3 linked regions of the Pelodiscus sinensis genome follow. The protein of the gene in region 1 purifies or fractionates together with the protein of each later gene. This does not show direct contact. Links are inferred from orthologs where the notes say so. Each region holds a gene or a part of one and is shown in the gene's direction. Other genes may lie near its edges. The genes, in order: ZZZ3, KAT14 and MBIP.

The links.
Region 2: the proteins of ZZZ3 (region 1) and KAT14 purify together in Homo sapiens (affinity purification with mass spectrometry; 4 studies listed by BioGRID and IntAct, with this or other methods). This does not show direct contact. The link is inferred for Pelodiscus sinensis from reciprocal best matches to the Homo sapiens genes ZZZ3 and KAT14.
Region 3: the proteins of ZZZ3 (region 1) and MBIP purify together in Homo sapiens (affinity purification with mass spectrometry; 4 studies listed by BioGRID and IntAct, counting the BioPlex papers as one, with this or other methods). This does not show direct contact. The link is inferred for Pelodiscus sinensis from reciprocal best matches to the Homo sapiens genes ZZZ3 and MBIP.

Annotation. Positions count from the first base shown.
Region 1 is NC_134719.1:25,183,309-25,191,376, reverse strand, and holds the start of ZZZ3 (ZZ-type zinc finger-containing protein 3), read left to right. Parts: upstream 1-3,055; 5' UTR 3,056-3,232; intron 3,233-3,305; exon of another isoform or gene 3,306-3,671; intron 3,672-8,068.
Region 2 is NC_134713.1:193,863,178-193,871,245, forward strand, and holds the start of KAT14 (cysteine-rich protein 2-binding protein), read left to right. Parts: upstream 1-3,034; coding exon 3,035-3,290; intron 3,291-8,068. Other genes in the region: protein PET117 homolog, mitochondrial, read left to right, coding at 2,572-2,721. UniProt on the Homo sapiens protein: Component of the ATAC complex, a complex with histone acetyltransferase activity on histones H3 and H4. May function as a scaffold for the ATAC complex to promote ATAC complex stability. Has also weak histone acetyltransferase activity toward histone H4.
Region 3 is NC_134714.1:47,307,982-47,316,049, forward strand, and holds the start of MBIP (MAP3K12-binding inhibitory protein 1), read left to right. Parts: upstream 1-2,307; 5' UTR 2,308-2,443; coding exon 2,444-2,569; intron 2,570-7,627; coding exon 7,628-7,744; intron 7,745-8,068. UniProt on the Homo sapiens protein: Inhibits the MAP3K12 activity to induce the activation of the JNK/SAPK pathway. Component of the ATAC complex, a complex with histone acetyltransferase activity on histones H3 and H4.

The DNA of each region.
Region 1 (8,068 bases):
GCTAGGAATTGCTCTCCTTAGAGCCCAGTGACTATCAGTTCTGACCCTCTTCCTTGCTCAATGATCAAATTTGCTCTCCCTTAAACCCCTTTTTTACCTGACCCCAGAACAAAAACAAAATGTTTTCAGTTTTAAAAACGGATATCTTGTTTGGGGAGATGGTTTGGGCAGTCATCATGACCTCTTATTTGCACCATAAATTCTGTGCTGGGGTCTTGAATTGACATACTAATTTTCACAATGCTAACTGGATTTCAGATGTTTGGAAATTTGGCATTAAGTGGTAACCCTGTTGCATCCTATCTATTGAGTTGCTTCTACTCCAACATAATAATCCCCACATTTGTTAATTTCTATATTGTGTTTCTGCAATATAATCAACCTGGGATTAACCAGGAATGCCAAGTAGAAGCTTCTGGTTGTAAAGTGGACAGCTTTCATGGAGAGGTGGTGTGATACTAGTAAAGTACCATACTTATTTGCATTCTTTAGAACATAAAAATGACCATACTGGATCAGACCAAAGGTCCATCTAGCCCAGTATCCTGTCTGTGGCCAATGCCAGATGCCCCAGAGGAAGTGAATGCAACAGGACATCACATTGCCTCTCTCCTGTCATCCATTTCCAGACAAACAGAGGCTAAGGACACCATTCCTACCCATCCTGGCTAATAGATATTGATGGCCCTAACCTTGATGAATCTATCTAGCTCTTTTTTGAACTCTGCTAAAGTCCTGGTCTGCACAGCATTCTCTGGCAAGGAGTTCCACAGTTTGACTGTGTGCTGAGTGAAGAAAAACTTCCTTCTGTTTGTTTTAAACCTTCTACTTATTAATCTAATTTGGTGACCCCTAATTCTTATATTATGGAAATTAGTAAATAAATGTTACTTATTCACTTTTTCCATACTTGTCATGATTTGATATACCTCTATTTTATCCCTTCTTAGTCTCCTCTTTTCTAAACTGAAAAGTCCAAGTCTTTTTAATCCCTCTTCATATGGGACCCGTGACAAACTCCTAATGATTTTTGTTGCTGTTCTCTGAACCTTTTCCAATGCCAATATATCTCATTTGAGATGAGGCACCACATCTGTATGCAGTATTCAAGATGTGGGCGTACCATGGTTTTATATAGAAGCAATAAGATATTCTCTGTCTTATTTTATATTCCTTTTTAAATGATTCCTAACATTTTCTTTTTTGACTGCCACTGCACACTGAGTGGATGTTTTCAGAGAACTACCCACAATGACTCCAAGATCTCTCTCTTGAGTAGTTGTAGCTAAATCTGTCCCCATCATGTTGTATGTATAGTTGGGATTATTTTTTCCAACGTGTATTACTTTACATTTATCAACATTAAATTTCATTTGCCATTTCGTTACCTAATCACAGTCTGCTTTGGACTTAACTATCTTGAGCAGTTTGGTATCATCTGCAAATTTTGTCACTTCGCTATTTACCCCTTTCTCCAGATCATTTATAAATAAGTTGAATAGGATTGGTCCCAGAACCGATGCTTAGGGGCCACCACTAGTCATCTCTCACTATTCTGAAAACTTCACATTTATTCTTACCCTTTGTTTCTTGTCTTTTAAGCAGTTATCAATCCATGAAAGCACATTCCCTCTTATCCCATGACAACTTACTTTACTTAAAAGCCTTTGGTGAGGGACCTTGTGAAAGGCTTTCTGGAAATCTTAGTATATTATATCCACTGGATCCCCCTTATCCACATTTGTTGACCCCCCCCCCTCAAAGAACTCTACAGACTAAATGTAGTGTTCTGCTAACATTTTATAAAGTAATTAATTGCAACTATAGAAGAGATCAATAAAAGTTACATCAGACCTGCCTGAAGACAGCACCTTAGATGCAAAACACACAGAACAGGTACAGCTCCCATTGGAGATTTTTCACTGACTTCCGTCAGATAGGAGCTGATTGAAAATAACTTGGAGAAAAGGTTGGGAATATCAGTTTGGATACCATATGAAGGGACAGGATGCAGAACTATTGTTCTTTGTGAGTAGTGATGAAGTTAACCTTCTTGTTCTGGAAAAGGTCACAGATAAAGATGATATTGTTATGCGGGAAAGATGTTTAGTGGCTCCCATCAAGTGGGTCTTTCAGCTACAATCACAAATTAGTTTTAATCTAAGCACCCGTTTTTCAGGCTCCATGAAAGGAGCAATGAAGCTATTTTATGTAGTGACATAGTTGCAAAAAATAGCTACCACACTGCCCAAAGCAATGGGCCATATGGCAAATGCTTGTGCAGAAGCTAACCTCTGTGGAATGATGTGTTCTCTGATACTATAGCAAATGCAGAAGCTAGGGGAGCAAGCTAAGTACAGATGGAGAAGAAAGCCAGCAGATAGGGACAGAAGTGGCCCTGAGAAGTAGCAGACACACAAAACTCCTAGAGCAGAGAAGAGACTGGACAGGCAGGCTTGCGGATTGCTGAGCAAGGAAACTCCCTTACTCTTTTCTACTACTACAACCCTGGGAAACAGGACGCTTTGTACATCCTCGGGAAGCCAACAGGGGTGGGCCAAAATATACCTGGCCCATCAATTTCTCTCTCTAACGGACACAAACCTGCAAGACCCCAAAAGTTGGTCACGTGCTTATGACAAAGGGTCAACACAGTGTAGAAGCCCAGGAGCCAGAGCTGCCTGCCTGGGGAACGGCTGGCACCGCGTCCTCGGGCTGGGGCGGGCAGGGCCGTGGGCCTGCAGGCGCTGGAGGGGGGCGGGTGAAGAGAGCGGGGAACGCACCCGTTCTGGCCCGACCCTCGCACCTCTTGCTTCCACCATCTCCACCTCGCATGGCCCAAGTCAGGCCCGGCCCGGGGCCCGCCTCCGTGGGCAGAGCCGGCCGGCCTGCCCCCCCGGCAGGGAATATCCGCTGGGGGAGACGAGCCGCCGAGTCCCGCCTCGCGCCCCAGCTGCGCCGGGGGCATGTACCGGCCCTCACCCCACGAGCGTAGGCTGCGACGGGCCGCCTCCCCCAGCGACCAGCAGGCGGAGCTGCAGGGAGCTGGTCCCCGCTGCAGCGGGGGGAGGGGAAGGAAGCGGAAGGAGCCGCCGCCGCCGCGCTGAGGGGGGAGCAGGCGCTGTGCGGAGCGAAGCCGCCGCCGCTGCCTGGTGCGCGGCGCAGAGGGAACGAGCAGGGGAAGCGGCGCCTCTGCCGGCAGGCTCCGTGCGCGCGAGATAGCGGGAGCCAGGTGAGGTCTAGGCACAAGAGAAAGGGGGGACCCGGATGATGCCGAGTTCGGCGCCCGCAGGAGGGGGGGGAGAGGAGGGGGAAATTCCCACGTGACCAGCGCGCCCCGTTCGAATCCCAACAGCTTGGGGCCGGATCGGCAAGGCAACTCTTGCGCCTGCGCATCGGCTCCACCTCCCTCCCTCCTGTCGCGTGCGTGGACATGTGCGTGCGTGCGTGCGTGTGCGCGCGCGCCGCGGGTGCAAGGTGGTTGCTGCGGGGTCGGGACACGTGCGCGGCGCCACCGCCATGTTGATTCCCAGCGCAGCTGTGGTGGGGGAGGGGCCCGCATGAGACGAGGAGGGAAAGGGGAGTGAGGGAGTTCTCGCGAGGCTGTGCATTTCCCGTGGGAGATGGCCGGCAGCAGGATGGCGGCGCGGCGCTGGGCTTGCTGGGTAATGGTAACTGGGGTTCGGGGGGCGGGGACCCTGGGACCAGCCTCCTCCTACCCGACTTGATTCCGAGCTCACGGGGGCGGGCTGGGCGCCCCAGGCGGTCGGACCAGCGCCCGCTGGGCCTGTGTGGCAACCGTTGTGGCTCCGCATATGTGCTCACCTGCTCTCCCTGTGCTGCCCCCCGTATCCCTGTGGCTTATTGGCTGTTCTCCTCCCCGCCCCCAGCATCTCCTGCTGCCTGCCCCACCGCCTTGCCCCGATAACTTTCTCAGACAGCCCTGCCTGCCCCAGCACCTCTCATTGTGCTCGGACAAACCAGACCTGCTGGGCTCTTACCATGCCCTCCTGCCCTGTAGCAACTCGGGCCATTCCCTGAGCAGTGCCCTACGCACCCCAAACACCTCTTTTGTCTCTACAAAGTGCCTACGTGCTCTGGTCGCTGCTGGAAATCAGAACCTGCAGTAATGCTCTTCCCCTGTGTCGACCTGGCTCCCAGCACTGCTTTGTTCTTTCAGGTGGTGACCCCACTTTGTCCTTCATTCCTGGATTCATGCGCTCCTTGCATGTTTCCACTGTGATGCCTCTGAGGGCACCCCCTCTACTTCTAGTTTATAGGTTGTGTGTCATTATCATGATTGTGATGGGTGAGGGAGAAAAGTCTCAATAAACTGGACAGAGGTCCTAGTTACTGCAGAAATGACCTCCCCTCTAACTATACTGCTGTGGATGGCTGTACCTGAAACACACTTTCCCTCATATTTGAAAAGTGCCTTTCACGTTGTGACTACTATTGGATAGTAAAGAAAATAATAGTCTGTAGTCCCAAGCATTCCAAATCTACAGTAGTCCCTATTGCTTTAATATAAACAGGGTTTTGCATGTGGTCCTACTCTTGTCCTGTTTCATCCCTGTTATGTTTCATCTCTGGTTACCCATTACTCCCTTGACAGTTCTTCTTTGCTAGAATTGCGACATGCCTTGTTATAGTTCTGAATGTCCACATAACTCCTGGCATTTCTGCACATGTAACACTTATTTAAGCCAGGATTTATGGAGCATATCAGTTATTGAGAAACTTATGTTAGCTGGTAGAATTCTGGTTTATTATTTAGTTCCAGTTAGATATTCAGTTGGCAAGCTTTTGATAGCACACTTTTTTTGTTTGTGTTTTTTCTAGTAGTGTTAGTTTAATCTTGTTTATTATTCACTTTTCCAAGTTTTTGCTTCTGATGTGTTTAAGCTCTTGAAGTGGGAAAAAAATAGTTTTACATATTTTATTATGTAGAAAAGTATATGCTAAGATGTTTGCTATTTTCACAAAGTACAAGATAGAGAGCATGGAGACCAAGGTCATCTTGGTTCTGCTGCAGATATCTGAGGAAATCCTGGCCCCCATCAAATGAATGTCAAAACTCCATTTGATTTCAGTGGGAGTCCAGATTCTGTCTTGTCAGTATGACTTGGAGCAAGTTGGATCCTGCTACACATGAAGGCTTTTCATTTTGTTGCTTCCAAGATTTATAAAATAAGTAGTTTTGAAAGGAAATATTTTTGGGCCCAATCTTGGGCTGTATCTTGCAACCCTTGCACAATACATTCTTTCATTCTATTGAATGGTGCAACTATGTTTGGGGTAAGTAGTAGCAGACTAGGACTCAGATAGGAATATATTTTTTTAATATGATCCTTCAGTGTGTTTCTATTTCAAGTGGGTGTAGTAGTAATTTAGTACAGTACTGTAATTGTCACCATTCTGAGTTCTCTTTTGCTGTAATTAAAAATGAAGTTAATTATTTTGCCTCGGTAATGTATAAAATGTATATTTCTTTAAGTATTATAATTATTTCAAATAGTGTAATTATTAAGGACTAATTAAGCTTAAATAGATTTTCTGATATTAAACATTTGCAAAATCTGAAAAATTTACCAGACACTTATCTAGAACACCAAATGTACTACAGAGTTAAGTATGGAAGAAGGATCTTTATCATTGATGCCTAAGGACAAAGCTCTATTGAGAGATCTAGTCTGTCCATTCCACCTGCTGGACAATGGGAAGATGCTTTGATTTCTGTCAGAGTTCCTTCCCCGTCTGCCCAGAGTATCTATTTTGTATGAGCATCTGGTTAGTAAGAATTTGAAGACTTTGCGTGCTCCTCCCGCCCCCGGGCTCTGATTGGCCTGGGGGCAGGGGAGTGTGTGATGTCTTCTCCTGCCCTGCAAGGGGCATGTGGCGCTTAGAGTGAAAGTGCCATGTGCTCCTTGCAGGGCTCGGGTAGGGAGTGCATGAGGTTTCCTCCAACCTGTCAAGGGCGCGCAGCACTTTAAATTGCAGGGTGGGGACAGGGAGCGAGAGACTTGGATCCCTCCTCCTGCCTCTGGGCCCTGATTGGCCTGGAGGTGAGGGGAGCTGGTGAAGTCTTCTCCTGCCCTGTAACCGGACAGGTGCCTAGAGCAGGGGTGGCCAACCCACTAAACAAAGAGAGCTTAAACAGCGGTGGAAAAAATGAGAAGAGCTGCACCAGAATTGTTGAGCAAAAAACAAACCAAAAAAAGATGCTGCCCCTTTAAAAAACACAGGCTTAGGCTTTTTGGCAGCATCAGGCTCCTGCCAGCCGAAGCCATCTTGCAGATGCCATTTTGAATCGCCGCTGGACAGCTCCCCTGCCTCCGTGAGCACAGGAAGCCAGGGGCCATTTGGAGGGGCTACGTGAGCCGCAAGGGAGGCTTTACGCGCCACACTTTTGGGAGGGAAGAGCCGCATGCAGCTTGCGAGCCATGGGTTGGCCACCCTTGGCCTAGAAGAAACTGCCAGCTCTTCAGAACAGCTGGCAGTTTTCTCTAGGGGCTCAGATGGGGGCAAAAACTGCACGTGCTCCCTCGCCTTCAGGCCAGTCAGGGTATGTGGGAGGGGGAGCATGGAGGTATCCTGGCCCCGCCTCTTCTGGGGCAGCCCAGTACCACTTCAAAAATTAGTGAAGTGGCCCCCCCATCTAAAATTATTGCCCACCTCCTGCTCTACACAGTACTCACAACGCTGAGTAGAAGTCTCTGTTCTTTCCACAGCCTCCATTTTTGTGGCATTTAATTGGTTTACTTTTTATTCAAATCTAGAATGTTGTCCTTATGATTATAAGGGCCATAATTTGTTTTAAAGACTTATGTTCTGTAGAATAATGCTATAGGTCCTCCGATTTGTTAGGGAAAGCTTACTCATCTGAGATGAGTAGTTTTTTAAAGTTGGCAGCATTTGCTTTAGCACCAATCTTGCATTATGCTTATGAGAACTTGCTTATAAATAATGTTTTATAGGAAGTTTTATATAGCTATAACTTTTAAGAACACGATAGCCATGGCTTCTCTTTTCAAATGTCGCTTTCACAGTAGAGCAGACTTAATAAAAGAGAACTTTTAATATCATATAGATATAGGTACAAATAAAAAATATCCAGCATTCTATGACATGCAGGCCCCAGCAGCCCATATATACTAGCTATTTTGTACAAACTATATTTTATTTGCATAAAAACATTTATATCCTGTTTAAGAAAGTTTTAAAAATTAATTTTGAAATATATTTATTAAAAATAGGATTAAACTTGACATAAGAAGGTTTTTCTTTCTACTGTATAATATACTTTCTAGACTAATATGATTTTAAACAAATCTATACAGTTAAGAACTCAATAGTTCTTCTACATCATTTCTTTCCATAATCACTCTAATCTCTGTTTAGTGCAACTTTATTCAAGCTCTTTCTGGTACCAAAGTCAAAACTGTTTTTAAGTGTATTGCCATATGTTTGATGGGCAGTTGAGGACAAATTGTCATGTTTGTACGTGCTCCTGGATTGTGGGTGAAGTTTGAAGTATAGCAGAATATAACTTAAGTTGCATATTTTGGCATCTGTAATCAAAATAAAGATGAGGACAACACGTGGCCTGGTGACAAAAACTATGCTTCAGTCTATTACTGTCTAATCATAATTAGATTGTTAGGATTGTTTGCATTTGATCAGTGAAAGTAGTTGACCTATTCTATACTTAATTGTTTTGGCTTAATGCTGTGTTGTTATATTGATTTGTTACAGTTTGTGGCAAATTAGTTATTAATAAAGGAACAAAATAATAGAAAATTACATGATTTTTTTACATTGGTTCACATGCTAAGAACATAAATCCTGTAGTACATTTGTATTTGTTTCCTTTCTGTTAATATGAGATTTCTTTTTAGCCCACTGCATGATTGCAAATATATCATTGAAAGGAATTTTAAGTGTTCCTTAAATTAAAACTTTATTGTATTAAATAAAAACATAAATTTGACTTTAAAGATCATGACAACCTGATTTCCAAAAAAACCAAAGGAAGCTTTTTCCCTTTATTAAAACAATTTGAATGATG
Region 2 (8,068 bases), on another chromosome or scaffold:
CACGAAAGCTTATGCTCCAATACATCTGTTAGTCTGTAAGGTGCCGCTGGACTCCTTGTTGCTTTTACAGATCCAGACTAACACAGCTACCCCTCTGATATCTGATAATCAGTGTTAACTATTGCTTTGTCTGTGCTCAAAAGTGCACCAGTTTATCTAAATTGTTTAAAAATTGAATTTAGTTAAATTAATGCAGACCTCTAATATGGACACTTTTAAATTAGTTCACATCGGGCTTATGTCAATTTAAGAAACTTTTGGCCTTCATGAACTAATTTGAGAGAAGCCAAGTGAATTTAAGCTTGTGCCAGTTTAACGAAATCGGGGTTCTCTACATTTCTATCACTATTCTTCATTGCATCATGACCCCCTTCTGACAACAAGCATTTCTACACAATTCCAGGAGGGGGGAACCAAAGCCTGAGTCCTTCCAAACCCCACTGCTCCAAATGGGACCAAAGCTGAAGCCTGAGGGCTTCAGCTCCAGGTAGGAGGTCTATAACCTGATCTCTCTGCCAGGGCAGTGGTACTTGGTTTTGGCTTCAGCTCCAGACTTCAGCAAACCTAAGCCAACCCTGGCAAGCCCATTAAAATGGGATTGTGACCCACTATAGGGTCCCGCCCTATAGTTTGAAAACCACTGAACCTAAACTGATATAAAAAAATCAAACTGTTGCAACTTATGTGTATAGACCACACCACACCTAAGTCTGCTTGTATGTATTTTGATGGTACTGAAGGATGTCCTCTGTCATTTGGGACAAAACATAAAGATTTTTTGCAAAATACATATATAACTATAGCTCTAAAGTGAATGAAAGCATAGCCTGGTAGGTTATAAGAGTGTATTTTATTGGATCAAGAGACATGCTTGAAACCTGCATTCATAAAAATCTCTACATTTTTTCTGTATATATAGTATGGTAGTACATTTCATTATACTACTAAAGTAATAGTTTATCAGGACAGTAGTAATTTTATAATCGGAATTAAATTGACTGAAACTGATAGGAAAGAACTGTTCCCATAAAATTAATTTCCAGAGAGATTTTGACATTTTTGGGTGAAATGTATTTTGTCTGCCTCCATAATTTTTGAAAACAAGATTAAAATATTTCTTGCACAAAATATTTTTTCTTCATGATTCAGATGGGACACATTATTTCCCTCAAAATGCGTACGTACTTGGTTTCTGGGTGAGAAGCGATGCCTCTTCCTATTAGAAAGTTTATTTTATTTTTTGAGGTCAATTTTTAAAATGAATGATTTGCAAATGCATTTTCAGATCTATTAAGCCTGCCTATATAATATCAGATTAATCAAATAAAGTATTTACCTTTTTGGCTATTAATTTATTCATAAATTATTTTTTCCAGCATTCATCCAGTCAGCAGTTGTAGTGCCTATGAATACATATGAATCCTGATCATGCAAAGATTTATGCTTTACACATATCAATTAGTTATTTAGGCAGACCTATAAGTTTTGAAAGGATCAAGACCATAGGTAGTAACAAAATATGGGCCTGGTCCTGCAGTTGGATCCATGTGGACAGAACCCTGTGCTTCTTCTAGTATTGGTTTCTATGCAACTATTTCATGTGTTTCCCTAATCAAATGTCATATTTTAATATCTTCTGTTAAAGGTGCCACCTTCATCTTGAAATCTAGTCAATCTCAAAGGAATTAGAAGCAGTTTCAAGTATCACTCCTACCCCATAGTTCCTTTATCAATGTTTGCAGTTTTGCAGATGTATTTTCTTGTTTTCAATATGCCTTTCTTTCCTCTATTGTTTGTACAAATTACCCACACGAAATACCCATAAACAAAAAGGGAAATTGACAAAAGCCCAGATTCAGTAGTTGGACCTACTTGTGGGGATCCAGTTTCAGGAACAAGGTCTGCCTATACAGAAGAAACAGCTAAATTAACTATATATAAAGCACAGTGAGTTCTGCGTTAGTGGATCCCTATGCATTGGAATCTCCACTGAATTCTTGGATCTCTGCATGGATTCAAGGTATTAAGAACAAAATGCTGTCAAGTGCACAAAATAAACCAAGTGGAAAAACTTTTTCTCTTTCAGTTATAATCCTTTTACATTTAATTCATTTTTTTAATGTAGTCTCCATGTTGTCTATGTTAATGTCTGTTAATTCTGCTCAAGCAGAGGATCACAAGTTGAGATATTTCAGGCAGATTAGTTGAATTCTGATAAGGATGGGGGAGAAGTCATAATCTTCGACAGATATATTGCTGTCTCTCCGTAATACTGTAGAAATGATCAATATACAATATTTACAGTTGTCTAACACTTTATCATTATAGGAAGATTATGTAGCTGAACCAACAAATATAGTTTTCCTAGCATGTTACCAGTAGTTATCAACATCCACCTATCAGAGCTCCGTTCTAGTCATTTTAAACTCGAAAAGTAGCTTGTGTCTTGAACAGAGAATTGAAAGTTTGTAACAGTTATATATTTGGCAGTGCTGTGACAGAGGTTGGAATGCAAAGGGGTGTTAGTTCCATGCAATCGACTATAATGAACCATGTCTCTTGTATTTTCAGAGGCTGCACGAAGGAGTTGTCAGAGACCTTGAGAGACAAAGCCGTAAACTGGAAAATATTCGCCTTTTACAAGAACAGATTACTCTGACCAAGCAACTTGAAGCAGAGAGACACAAGATGTTAATGGAAAAAGAGTCCCAACAATCCTAGACTTAAACATGAAGTTTTAGAGTTGGGACTGAAGGACAGCAGGGATTTGTGTTTGAGTGTTCCTAGGTGTTTCAGGAAACGGAAGCTACTTCCATCACCTTTAGCTACCTAGTCATCAAGTCTAGGAAATTATATACATTAAGAAGTGTGTACGCAGAATTATTCTCTAACTTGAATATTTTCATGTGAGCAGAAATATAGTGTAGAAGGCTTCATACCTGGCTGGCTCACCTTATATGGGTGGTATTTTAAATGCTGGAGGGAGAGCCCCATGTAATGTAAAAAAATCCCTTCCTCTGCTTGCCAAGAAGGGATGGATAATAACGTTCACATGAGTGGACTGATGAGTCGGCACGATGACGAAGCTACAAGGACATCAACTTCAGAAGGGCTGGAGGAGGGTGAGGTGGAAGGAGAGACTCTCCTGATTGTTGAGTCTGAGGATCAGGCTTCAGTGGATTTATCCCACGATCAGAGTGGGGACTCCTTGAACAGTGATGAGGGGGATGCATCCTGGATGGAGGAGATGTCCTATTACTGTGAAAAGTGTCAGAAGTGGATACCAGCAAGTAAGAGTCAAGATTTCCTCTGTTATCTCCATCTCTTGCGTTTTGTGGGTTTATTTGTTCTTTTCCTCAGAGAAAAAAAATCATATTATTTTCCTGAACGTATGGGAGGCAGTGATGTGTAGTAGATAGAGCACCAGACTAGGGATCAGGAGACCTAGATTATATTCCCAGCTCTGCCACTGGTCTGCTGTGCCTGTGTCTGTCAGTTCCCCTTTCAATCTCTCAGGGTATGTCTACACTACAAAGTTAATTCGAACTAACGGACGTTAGTTCGAATTAACTTTGATAGGCGCTACACTAGCGCTCCGCTAGTTCGAACTTAATTCGAACTAGCGGAGCGCTTAGTTCGAACTAGGTAAACCTCATTCTACGAGGACTAAGCCTAGTTCGAACTTACTAGTTCGAATTAAGGGGTGTGTAGCCCCTTAATTCAAACTAGTGGGAGGCTAGCCCTCCCCAGCTTTCCCTGGTGGCCACTCTGGGCACCACCAGGGAAACTTGTCTGCCCCCCTCCCGGCCCCGGACCCCTTAAAGGGGCACGGGCTGGCTACGGTGCCCGTGCCAGGTACAAGCCTGCCAGCACCCAGCTAGCAGACCCTGCACCTGGCACGGCTCGAGCCAGCCACCCGATGCCCCCCAGCCCTCCGCCTCTTCCCGGGACCAGGCTGGCGGCTCCCGGGAGCTTGCCCGGGACCGCAAGAGGCGGGCACCCGCCTGGTCTAGTGCGGATATCGTGGAACTCGTCCACGACCTCCGCACTAGGCACAGGAAAGTGGCCGTCTAGGGCAGGAGAGCTGCCAGCCTGGCCACCCAGGAGCAGGTGTGCATGAAAATCAAGGTGGTCCACTGAGACCCCCCGACCCTGAGTCCTGAGCTTACAATGGCCGTCCTGGGTCAGACCAAAGGTCCATCTAGCCCAGTAGCCTGTCTGCCGACAGCGGCCAACCCTAGGGACCCTGGAGGGGATGGACCGAAGACAGTGACCAAGCCATTTGTCTCGTGCCATCCATCTCCAGCCTTCCACAAACTTTGGGCAGGGACACCACTCCTACCCCTTGGCTAATACCACTCCATCGACCCAACCTCCATGACTTGATCTCACTTCTCTTTAAACTCTGTTCTAGTTCTAGCCTTCACAGCCTCCTGCAGCAAGGAGTTCCACAGGTTGACTCTTTGCTTTGTGAAGAACAACTTTCTGTTACTAGTTTGAAGCCTGCTACCCATTCCTTTCCTTTGGTGTCCTCTAGTCCTTCTATTATGGGAACTAATGAAGAACTTTTCTTGATGCACCCTCTCCACCCCACTCATGCTTTTATAGACCTCTATCCTATCCCCCCCTCAGTCTCCTCTTTTCTAAGCTGAAAAGTCCCAGTCTCTTTAGCCTCTCTTCATATGGGACCTCTTCCAAACCTCTCATCATTGTAGTTGCCCTCCCCTCTCCCACCCTCTCTCTTCCCCTCTCCCACCTCCTTTTCCCAATCTCCCCGAGTTTTGTTCAATAAAGAGAGATTCTATTTTTGACCACACGTTTTCTTTATTTTGTACATCAGGAAGGGGGGCTAGGGAAGGGTAAGTGGAAGGAGGTGAGGGAGGAATGGGGTACGAGCCCCCAATGGGGAGGACTGGGCTGGCTCTGTGGGCTTCTGTGGGTGGAAGCTCTCCTGCAGGCCCCCAATTGCCCCCTCTCCTCAGATGGCAGCCTGCGGCAAGTGCAGCCGGTCTGATGGCCGAGTGCTGTGATGTGCCCGGTGTGGGCACTCAGGGCACTCCAAGACAGGACTGCTTTGCAAGCGGGGTACCCCTGAGAACTGTCTGTCCGGGGTGGGGGTCGGGTCCCTTTAAGCACAGCCCTTGGCTAGCCTGAGGCAGCAGCTCCACGCTCTAAGTCCTCATCTGATGCCCTGCCGGCACTGCTTCCGGCCATCCTTAACCCCGGTTCAGGGTCCACTTAATGTGGACATGCTAGTTCGAATTAGCAAAACGCTAATTCAAACTAGTTTTTTAGTCTGAATTAACTAATTCAAACTAAGTTAGTTCGAATTAGCGCTGTAGTGTAGACATACCCTACGTTTCCCAATCTGTAAAACAGGGATAATGCCAGTTCCTTTGTAAGGAAAGGTGCTACATAAGAACTATTATTATTTTCCTGATTGGTTTGCCATTTCAGTGGGCTGTGTAAATAGATTTCAGTCTTCTGTATATAAGAATGGTTCCATGGTATCCTGAATTTAAGATTAGTATTCACAGAACAATATAAAGCCAGTTCAGGTTGGACTTCCCTGGTCCAGCACCTTTGGGACCTGACCGGTCCCAGATGAGAGATTTTGCCAGACCTAAGGAGGTCAATTTTGGACCCCTGCCACTGGCCCCCTGGCCTGGCCGCTAGCCTCCTAGCTCCCCACCTTCTGCTGGCCCCGCTGCCCTGCCAACTTGCTGGGCAACCATTGCTGCTGGGGCTCCACCGGGCCACCTAGCGCTGGGCTGGGGTCCGGGCAGCCACGTGCGCCACACCAGGGCTCCGTGAGCAGCCCTGCGTGTTGTGTGATTGAGCAGCCATGTGTGCGCCGGGCTCCCAGCCCCACTGGGCAGTCACCTGCCGGGTCTCCCAACTCTGTTGGGCAGCCCCACTACCACGCTTTGGGCAGCCCCCCCCCCATCAGCTACCTGCAGGCAGCCCACTGCCCTGCTTGCCCCACAGGGATCCTTAGTGCTGGCCCTCCACCAGGACTCTCAGGTCCTGCAACTAGGGATGTCAAATTTAGATTAATCAACAAATTGAATAGTCGATGGAATTTGCAGGAATTTAATAGAACCCCCTGGGCTCTTGTACATTTCCAGAGCAGGGAGCACAGGGCCAGCCAGAGACTGCTTGAGTCCCCCGCTGGCCCCGTGGTGCTTCTGCTTTTGAAGTGCATCAAGAGCCCTGCTCTTGCTACATTCCAAAGGCGGAAGTGCTGCCAGTTCCCCGCTGTCATCGTGTCGTCGTCGTCATCTCTCCCCTCCCCCCGCCCCTCCTGCCATGGAGATAGTGCTGGGGAGGAACCGGCTTTTAAGCCAGCTCCTCCCAGCATCGGCTCCTGCTCCCATCCCCCTGCCCTTGCTGCCGCTAAGCATATGCTTATTGGATAGTCAACTAGTTGATTACATACCTACCTGCAACATCCATGCTGGACCATGGATGTTGCTGGACCAGAGAATCCTGGTTAAGAGAGTTTTAACCTGTAGCAGTAGCTCTGTTACAAACACTGAAGTTATTTTTCCAGTGACTCCATTTAACATTACATAAACTCTTTTAGCATTCTTCATATCCTAGTACCGTAGTTTTTCCTTTCTCAGTACCAAGATCTAGCTGAGCACTGCTCATTTTATGGCAGGAAATACTGATCTCTTCTAGCTTGGTCAATACTTGTCAGTTCAGCTGATCAGTTTGCCAAAAGCTGTAGTGTGAAATCTTTTTTCCAGTGAAGTCATCCAGAATTTTTTCATTTGGCTTTACTGGAGCCAGAATTTCAGTAGGAAGAAGTTAAAGGGACACAGTCAACTTGAAGTCTAGTCTGATTAGGTACTACACCTGGGTATGTCTACACTACAGCACTAATTCGAACTAACTTAGTTCGAATTAGTTAATTTGAACTAAGCTAATTCGAATTAGCGCATCTAGACTTAAAAACTAGTTAGAATTAGCGTTTTGCTAATTCGAACTAGCATGTCCACACTGAGTGGACCCTGAACCGAGGTTAAGGCTGACCGGAAGCAGTGCCGGCAGGGCATCAGATTAGGACTTAGAGCGTGGAGCTGCTGTCTCAGGCTAGCTGAGGGCTGTGCTTAAAGGGACCCGACCCCCACCCCGGACAGACAGTTCTCAAGGGTTCCCCGCTTGCAAAGCGGTCCTGGCTTGGAGTGCCATGAGTGCCCACACTCGGCACATCACAGCACTTGGCCATCAGCCCGGCTGCACTTGCCGCAGGCTGCCATCCAGAGGGGGGGGGGTCAATCAAGGGGCTTCAGAAGAGCTTCCACGCCGAGGAGCCCGCAGAGTCCTCCCCATCGGGGGCTCGTACCCCATTCCTCCCTCACCTCCTTCCACTTACCCCTCCCTAGCCCCTCTTCCTGATGTACAAAATAAAGGACACGTGTGTTCAAAAATAGAAACTCTCTTTATTGAACAAAACTCAGGGAGATTGGGAAAAGGAGGTGGGAGAGGGGAAGAGAGAGGGTGGGAGAGGGGAGGGCAACTAAAATGATCAGGGGTTTGGAACAGGTCCCATATGAAGAGAGGCTAAAGAGACTGGGACTTTTCAGCATAGAAAAGAGGAGACTGAGGGGGGATATGATAGAGGTCTATAAAAGCATGAGTGGTGTGGAGAGGGTGCATAAAGAAAAGTTCTTCATTAGTTCCCATAATATAAGGACTAGAGGACACCAAATGAAATGAATGGGTAGCAGGCTTCAAACTAATAACAGAAAGTTCTTCTTCACAAAGCAAAGAGTCAACCTGTGAAACTCCTTGCTGCAGGAGGCTGTGAAGGCTAGAACTAGAACAGAGTTTAAAGAGAAGTTAGATAAATTCATGGAGGTTGGGTCCATGGAGTGGTATTAGCCAGGGGGCAGAAATGGTGTCCCTGGCCTCTGTTTGTGGAAGGCTGGAGATGGATGGCACGAGACAAATGGCTTGGTCATTGTCTTCGGTTCATCCCCTCCAGGATAGCTGGTGTTGGCCGCTGTCGGCAGACAGGTTACTGGGCTAGATGGACCTTTGGTCTGACCCGGTACGGCCG
Region 3 (8,068 bases), on another chromosome or scaffold:
CAACGTAGGCAAAGCTTTGAGGGAATGAGGATGAAGCTATGCTGAGTGAATCATGCTCGTGGAGAGGATGGTGGGGCTCAGGTTTATTTACATTGAAACTCAACAGTACACGAAACTAACCTCTGCACTAAGGATGTTAAAATGTGGTTAAATGACTACCGTATTTTCCGGTGTATAAGGCGACTAGGCGTATAAGACAACCCCCTAATTTTCTAGTTAAAAGATAGGTTTTCGTCTTATACTCGCCATATAAGACTACCCCCCTTAAGAGACCAACCGGCAGCACCCCAGCGCCCCTCTGCCTCTCCGGCTTTGCTCCCGGTGCCTCTGGTCTGCTGGGGACCGTCTCCAGCAGACCAGGGACACCGGGAGCAAAGCCTCTGAGGACGCCGGCAGTGGGACAGCCGCGGCGCGTCTGGGCTGCCCCACTGCCGGCTTCCCCCGAGGCTTTGCAAAGCCGCGGAGAGGCTTGGGCAGCGGGGCAGCCCAGGCCCCGCTGCCGGAGCCCCTCCGCAGCTTTGCTCCGCGTCTTCCTGGTCTGCAGACCAGGGAGACGTGGAACAGCTTTTCTCGCCTGAGTACACGGGCGGCGGGACCGCGAGGTCCCGCAGTCTGTGTCCTCCGGGGCGAGAAAAGCCCTGTTCGTACCTGCAAGTCGGGGACTGCCTGTATACCCGGCGTATAAGACGACCCCCGATTTTTGGGGGATGTTTTTTAGCATAAAAAGTCGTCTTATACGCCGGAAAATACGGTAGTTGACTAGTCAATGGAATTTCTAGTACCGGCTGGGGATCTTGTACATTTCAAAGAAGGAATGCAGAACTTTGCTACAGCCTGGGCCGGTGAGAAGTCCCGCTGACTCTGGGTTGCACAGGGAGTGCCTGCTTTGAAATGCACAAGAGTCCATCAGGGACTCTTGTGTATTTCAAAGCCATGGAGCCCTGGGTCAGTAGGGGACTCAATCCCCCACAGAGCCCGGGCTCCATGCTATGCTGCATGCCACTAAGTTCTGGGGAAGTGCTGTGCAAAACCTGGGGTCAGCTGGGAAGTCCTCAGCTGATCCTGAGCTCCATGGCTACCCCTTTGAAATGCAGAGCTGACAGATCAGCTGTGCAGCGACTGCCCCTCTGCCACACCACCTTGGGGTTTCAAAGCAGCTGCCACTTTGAAGTACCCATCCCCCCTCTCTCCGCCCCCCCCCCCCCGCCTCTATAGAGGCAGCAAGGGGGGAGGGGGGGGAAGAGATATCAAATGCCTGTAGAGGAAGCAAGGGTGTGGAATATCAAATGCTTATCAGATAGTCGACTAGTCTTTAACATCCCTACTCTACAGCTGGCCTGTGACAAGCCACCACTCCCCACCATGCTCTCAAAATAATGAAGGTGAATCCAAAGTATTGTATCTCTGAAACTGCTATGAAAGAAGCAGGTGAAGGAAGCAAGGTGTGACATTGGTCTATACAGGAAAGAAATGTGGTTGAGATAGATTTTACCTAGGGAAGTAGTGGAGTCTCCATCCATAGAGGTGTTTAAGTCTCAGCTTGACAAAGCCCTGGCCGGGTTGATTTAGTTGGGATTGGTCCTACCTAGAGCAGGGGGCTGGACTTGATGACCTTCTGAGGTCTCTTCCAGCTCTATGGTTCTATGATTCTAAGACCAGGCAGCTGATCCAAACTAAAAAGTCAAGCTAGATTTACCAACCCCAAATTGCACTGTCAAAGTAGAGAGCCAATTCAGCCATGCCTACTGCACCCGCAAACGTGGAACCCAAAAGATCCCAAAGCAACATTGTCTATTTTGTCACAAGTCTCTCAGTACTTCGGGGATAGAAATGGAGCCGTGTTAGTCTGGTGTAGCTGAAACAAAAACCAGGACTATGTACTTCGGTGTTTCTCTAAAGCCCCGAGGTTATTACTGGGGAGCTCATCTTTCACCTAAAACCAGGTACGTTTCCAGTCTGCATGGCTGCAGAGAGGAGCCTGGCAGTGCGCCCCTGCAGTCCTTCCACTCGGGAAGCAAAGAACCCCGCGGGCTGGCGCTGAAAGCTCACAACTTTACAGCCAGTCTCGGAGGGCCTGTCCCAGGGGTTTGAAGCCCCGAGGGTCCCGCCCCCGCACTCCAGGGCAGTCACATTTAGGAGCCAGGCCACGCACTCGCAGCTTCAGGCCCGGCGCGGCCCCCAGGCGGGACGGGCTTTGCCAGCGCACCGTTCTCTTCCCCGCAGCGCAGCGCAGCCCAGGCCCGCTGCCCGTCGCTGCAGAGCTGGCCCAAGAGCGGGGCCGAGGATTGGCCGCTCTTCACGTCAGTCAGTCCTGTGGGCGGGGACAGACCCGGCTCTCCGCCGCGCTGAGGCCTCCTCCGAGGCTGGGCTGCTCGTCATCCCAGAGCGACGGCGGCGGGAGGCGGAGGCATGGTCCCCGCAGCCAGCGGCCTGGCCGGGTGTCATGGCCGCCGTGGGGGAGCCCAGCCCGCGCCAGCCCGAGGCCCACACGACAGAGACTCTCGCCGCCCCCGCCGCCAGGGAAGTGCTGAGCGGCGTCCTGCGCTCCCTGCCCAGGCTGGCGGGGCAGGTCAGTGAGGGCGGGAAGTCCCTGCCCGGGGCAGGTGGCAGTAGCAGTAGCTCCGCATTGGCGGGGGGAGTGCGAAGCTCTGCTGGTGGGGGCACAGGAGGTGGGCCCTGTTTGGGGGCGGGAGCAGCAGAGTTATAGGTAGGGGCGTGGCGGTGGGGAGAGAGACTCCTTTTGGGGGACCAGCGGCTGTCCAGGGAGAGGGGATGAAAGAAGTAGCTGAAGGCAGCAAGGGCGGGGACTAGGAAATTTGGATTTGTTTGGTTAGAAATCGATTTGAAATTCATAATCCAGCAAAAGCTCCCTTATTTGGGAGAGATCTTTTCATCTGGGATTGTTTTCATCATGTTTGGTACCTGCAGTTACCAAAGATCAAATGCTTCGGAGGGTTAGCCAAGTTAGTCTGTAACAGAAAAAACTTAAAAAAAAAAAATAGTCAAGTAGCAAGTTAAAGACTAACAAAGCATGTAGATGGTATCATGAGCTTTTGTGGGCATAGCTCACTTCTGTCATCTGAAGAAGTGTTGTTCCCACAAAAGATCATGATACCATCTACATGTTTTGTTAAATTTTAAGATGCTACTAGACTATTTGTAAGTTTTTCAAAGCTCAAATGTCTTGCTGCTGCATGAGTGATGGATGGCATGCACACTCGTATTGCCATTTCATACTAAGGGTACGTCTAGACTACCGCGTTTTGTCGACGGAAGTTTTGTCGACAGATACTGTCGATAAAACTTCTGTAGACAAAGAGCGTCCAGACACATTGAGTTCTGTTGACAAAGCAAGCTGCTTTGTCGACAGAACTCCATAGTCTGGACGCAATGTTACAGGCAATAACACCTTCTGTCGACAGAGTTCTGTCGACAGAAGGTGTTATGCCTCGTAAAATGAGGTATACCAGCGTCGACAAAACTGCTGAGTTCTGTCGACGTTATGTCGATAGAACTCAGCGGTAGTGTAGATGCTGGTATAGTTTTGTCAACAAAAGTCCACTTTTGTCGACAAAACTAGGTAGTCTAGACACACCCTAATAGCAAAGCAAATGTGTTGCTTTTAACTATGGCTTTAAAAAGGTGACTGTTACCTGTGAACTCACTTACAAAGGAAATATTTTTCCTGTGACAAAGTGTGGAGATTGTATCACACAAAAGAGGTTACTGATTATGAGTGGTGTCCACAAACCATTATAAGTTTCATAGTCTATTATAACTTTGAAAAAAAAAGGCACCTAAAGTTAGAGCTACTGAAATTTTTGGCTCGGGACAGCCCATGACTTTGCTGCTGTGGAATATAAGAAAATTTTGCTGGGCCAGATTTTTAAAATTGGCTTCAGTTTCAGGGTTTTTTAAAGATTTTAAAAAGTAAAGGCCTATTTTTAGAGCTGAGGAGAGTCCACTGTCATTTAGTAGTGATATTAGCATAGTACTCAGAGGTCCTTATGAAGATCAGGGTCTAAACCCAGACACAGTCCTTGTCCTAAATGGTTTACAATCCTGAAAATCCCAATCTGACAGCTCATGAGCCCATTAAAATCAAGTTTTTTCCCTCAAATTAAACCATGCACAAGTGTGTGGAGCCCAGTGTGTGAAGCTGCATCTGATCAGTGAGTGACAAAGAAATGTATACAACTTGAAATATTTTCTTAATCTAGATATCTACTTTCCCCAACTATTCTTCAGTCTACCACTAAACAGTGACATTTTTTGATATTGGCAAAAACAAGTCTTGTCTTTATTGCCATTTCAAGTGGGTGCTACAATTATCAGAGGTGCATAGCAATTGCATCATAGCTATCTAAGCACTCAATATTGAAATACCCAAAATAAAGGGATTGAAAACTCGGGCATTAGCCTTTTTATTTTTCCTATCTTTAAGATGGATAACTGCACTCTGTCTCTCTAGAAGAAACACTGTATGGATTGGTTAATGTTCATACAGTGCTAAGAGGCAGTAAAGTGCTAAGTATTAGGTGTATCACACTATCATTACATAATAGTATTCCTTTTATTGTGGACAACATTTTCCACAAGTCATCGCTCATCACAGCAATTGAGTGGATGAAGAAAAAACTTACATTCTGTAACTACTGCTATATGCATGTTACTCTAAAAGAGTGTTGTTCTTTGTGCTTATCAGCACTACAGAACCACGTGTATGTATGTATGTATAATTAATATATATATACCAGCTCCTTATATACTTAAAGAAAAGTAGGTATATGATGCTAGCGATGATACGTCCTATGTAACAGTTTAAATCCTTGCAGTTAATGTGTAGTTTTTTTTTTTTTTTTAATGGTTAAGCTCTGTCCCTTATTCAGTACTTCACGGTTACCTGAAATTTAGCTTTTAAATTCTGGGCCTAGTGGCACACGTGTATCAAGGTCCACATTCTGATTTAGTAGAATTTAATTACAGTGGTTTTCCTCCACAACAGGGACATCTTATCTAAAAATTGCTAGTCTGTTATTGTTTCGAGCCGTAGGGTTATCTTTTGTGATGGCGTGACTTTAAGTTACCACAAAATAGACTGTCAGCCAGTGAGAGTATAGTAGGTGCAGAAACTACAAAATTACATTCTGTTTATCACAGTCCTTACAAGTGCTTTGAAGGCAAGCAGATACATTTATGTGACAGATTAATTTGTACTGAACAGCAAATTAATACATACAAAAAGTGTACATTATATGGTGATAGGGGTTATCCTTTACTCGTGACTAAAGCATGACTACAAATAACCCCCCAACCTTTTCACTTACATTTTTAACTGTTTATCCTAAAGTTATTCCCATTCAGAAATCTGGCAAGGTTTCCACACTTTGAGCTACCTAAATAGGAGCCCTCAAAAATCAAGTAAAGCATATGACTGTATCTGTGACTATTTGAAAAGATGGATTGCTAAGGGAAGATTGAAGAGTATGCATTTTAATCTATAATACATGGTATAAATTCTCCCATGGGTAATAGAAACTGTACTTAACAATATAAAAAATAATGTGTACTGTATATTTTTAATGGAAACATGTAGCACAAACTGGGTATGCATGTACACCCGGGTGGCACCATAGATACAGATAAACAATCTCATGAACTAAATAAAATGTACCCAAGAAAGTGAAACTATGTAAATAAAATGTTCGGAATGAGCATGTTTCCGAAAACACGAATTTTCCTGATGTAATACACACAGATTAAATACCAAAAAAACATTTAAAACAGAAGTATTTTATTCTAACTAATAATACTTGATATATTACATCTAACTGAAACAAGAAATGGAAAGCTTGAACTTGTTGTGACTGTTAGTTTTTAGAATTTTGATGCTGACTAAGAAGAAAAATACAGACTTATTATTTCACTAGTTTTTCTGCTTCTATAGTAATTGGTGAGTCCCCTTCTTTCTGTCCTTCATATTGGCTTAGGGTCACACATTTACTCAAGTAGAACAGGAATAGGAATGTTCCCTACTTAAAGCGGAAGGATCAGGGTCATATTTTAAGTATACTACTTACTGTGGTTCTTGTTTTTACAGCAAGTATGCAAAGTAGTTTAATATTTAACTTCTTTGTCTCCCAATGTATTGCTTGCACTCTGTTTACTTTATTCACATTTGATTCTCGCTATGTATGCTCTGAATTCGATGTATTTTTGCTCATTTCAATCTTCAATTATCAGCCCTTTAAAAAAAAAAACCCCCTCAAGAACTAAATATATATATTCTGTTTTCTTGCCCATATTTGATGCCATTAGGAGACCCACACTTTGTGGAGGGTATATGTTAAAGGTATTCTGGCTTTTGGCATGTAAACACAATTATCTATCTACCTGTGGTCTAGTTTTCTTTTTTTAAACTGGGAGCTTGCACCATTTGCGAGCATCATATTGACCTAGTCTTACAAGTATGTCAATGAATTAGGAATTTTGGACCTGATTCTGAGTGTGGCTATGTCATACAACCTCTGTTAATTTAAATAAGAATTATGCCAGAGTACAGAGCTCTTCATTCACTTTTGGAGAATCTCTAATGCCTTATTTGATTGGAAAACAACCTCTTTAGTTTTGGTGAGAGTTACCAAGTGCTTCCTATTTCTTAGGATCATGCCTGAGAGAACAAGTTTCACTGAAATAAAAATAGAGGTTGAAATGAAGAGTATGCATTTATTTCATTAGTGTTTATTAAAGTGTACTGTAAAATTATTTTTACAAACATGCATATTATTTAGAGGTTTAATAGGCTGCATGATCAACACAGTTTGTAAAAGCTAACTTCAATACCTGCATATTTGTAAATTATGCATCATTTTTTCGCCAAGGAGTATAATCTCATGGTATGTAATTTGGTTTTGCAATGGTTCAATTGCATAGAAAGTTTAAGCTTTGATTTTTAAATAGGTTTAATGGAGTGGATAAAGTTCTGCTACATAGACTACATTTTGCTTAACGTACGGTTTAGTAAAGATTATTTATGGAGACTTCTTGCAAAAGAAAATGTAACTTTAGATTGTTTTTAGACTAAAAGTTACTCAGTGTGTTTCAGAATCAAGGCCATAGTTTATTTTTATATACTGGTAATTAAACCCATTTTACCTTTTTAATATTCCACTGTTTGCAAAGCAGTAATCTCTATGAAACAAGCATAGTGGTGGCTTGGGCTTCTCGTTAGCTATGCTGTCTAGGCAGCTAAAATAAAAGCAAATAAGAAGAGACAAAAATATTTTAGAATAACAGTTAACTGTTTAGTCAGTCTATCAGCTACCATTAACAGAGGTTGAGGCTATATTAATGCAATAAAAATGGCACTGGTTAACTGAGTATTTTAAAAAAAAAAATCAGACTTCATGCAAGTATACCCAGTAATTTATTTGGGGAATGACAGTTACAACTGATGTTTCAATGCAAAACTAACATTTTTGAACCATTCTTCTGCTCTAATATAAAAATGTGGTCAACAGGCTGAGAATTTTTACTGAGCTATAGAAGTCCTGTATACTTCTGTGACATTCTGTAATACAGAATAATGGTGTAATTTTTGTGATGATGCTTGTTTGCCCTTTTGAAGCTTAACCTTGGAGATGATGTGAAAATTGTAATCGATTGGAGCAAGCTTCAAAGTACTTCAACACTCCAGCCTACATTGCTTTTTAGTGCACTTCAGCAACATATTTTATATTTGCAGGTAAATATTTTATTGGACACTTTAAACTTGCCCAAGAGATTAGCATTTAAATGTAGCTAGATTATATAAAATGCATAATTTCAATTGTTTTGATTTAGCATTGAAGTATTAACTTGAGAAGGATGCAAATATATTGTACATTTGGGATTCCACTACACTTCATAGGTACTCAAACCTGCTCTCTTCCAGATTTGTCAGAACAGGAATAGCCTACCAGGCCACTATGGGTAAGAAGACTGAACAAATCCAGCCCCATTGATTTCTAGACTTGCATTGTAAATTCAATACATTCCTATCTATGGTGGGTTGTAATTAAGCAATAAG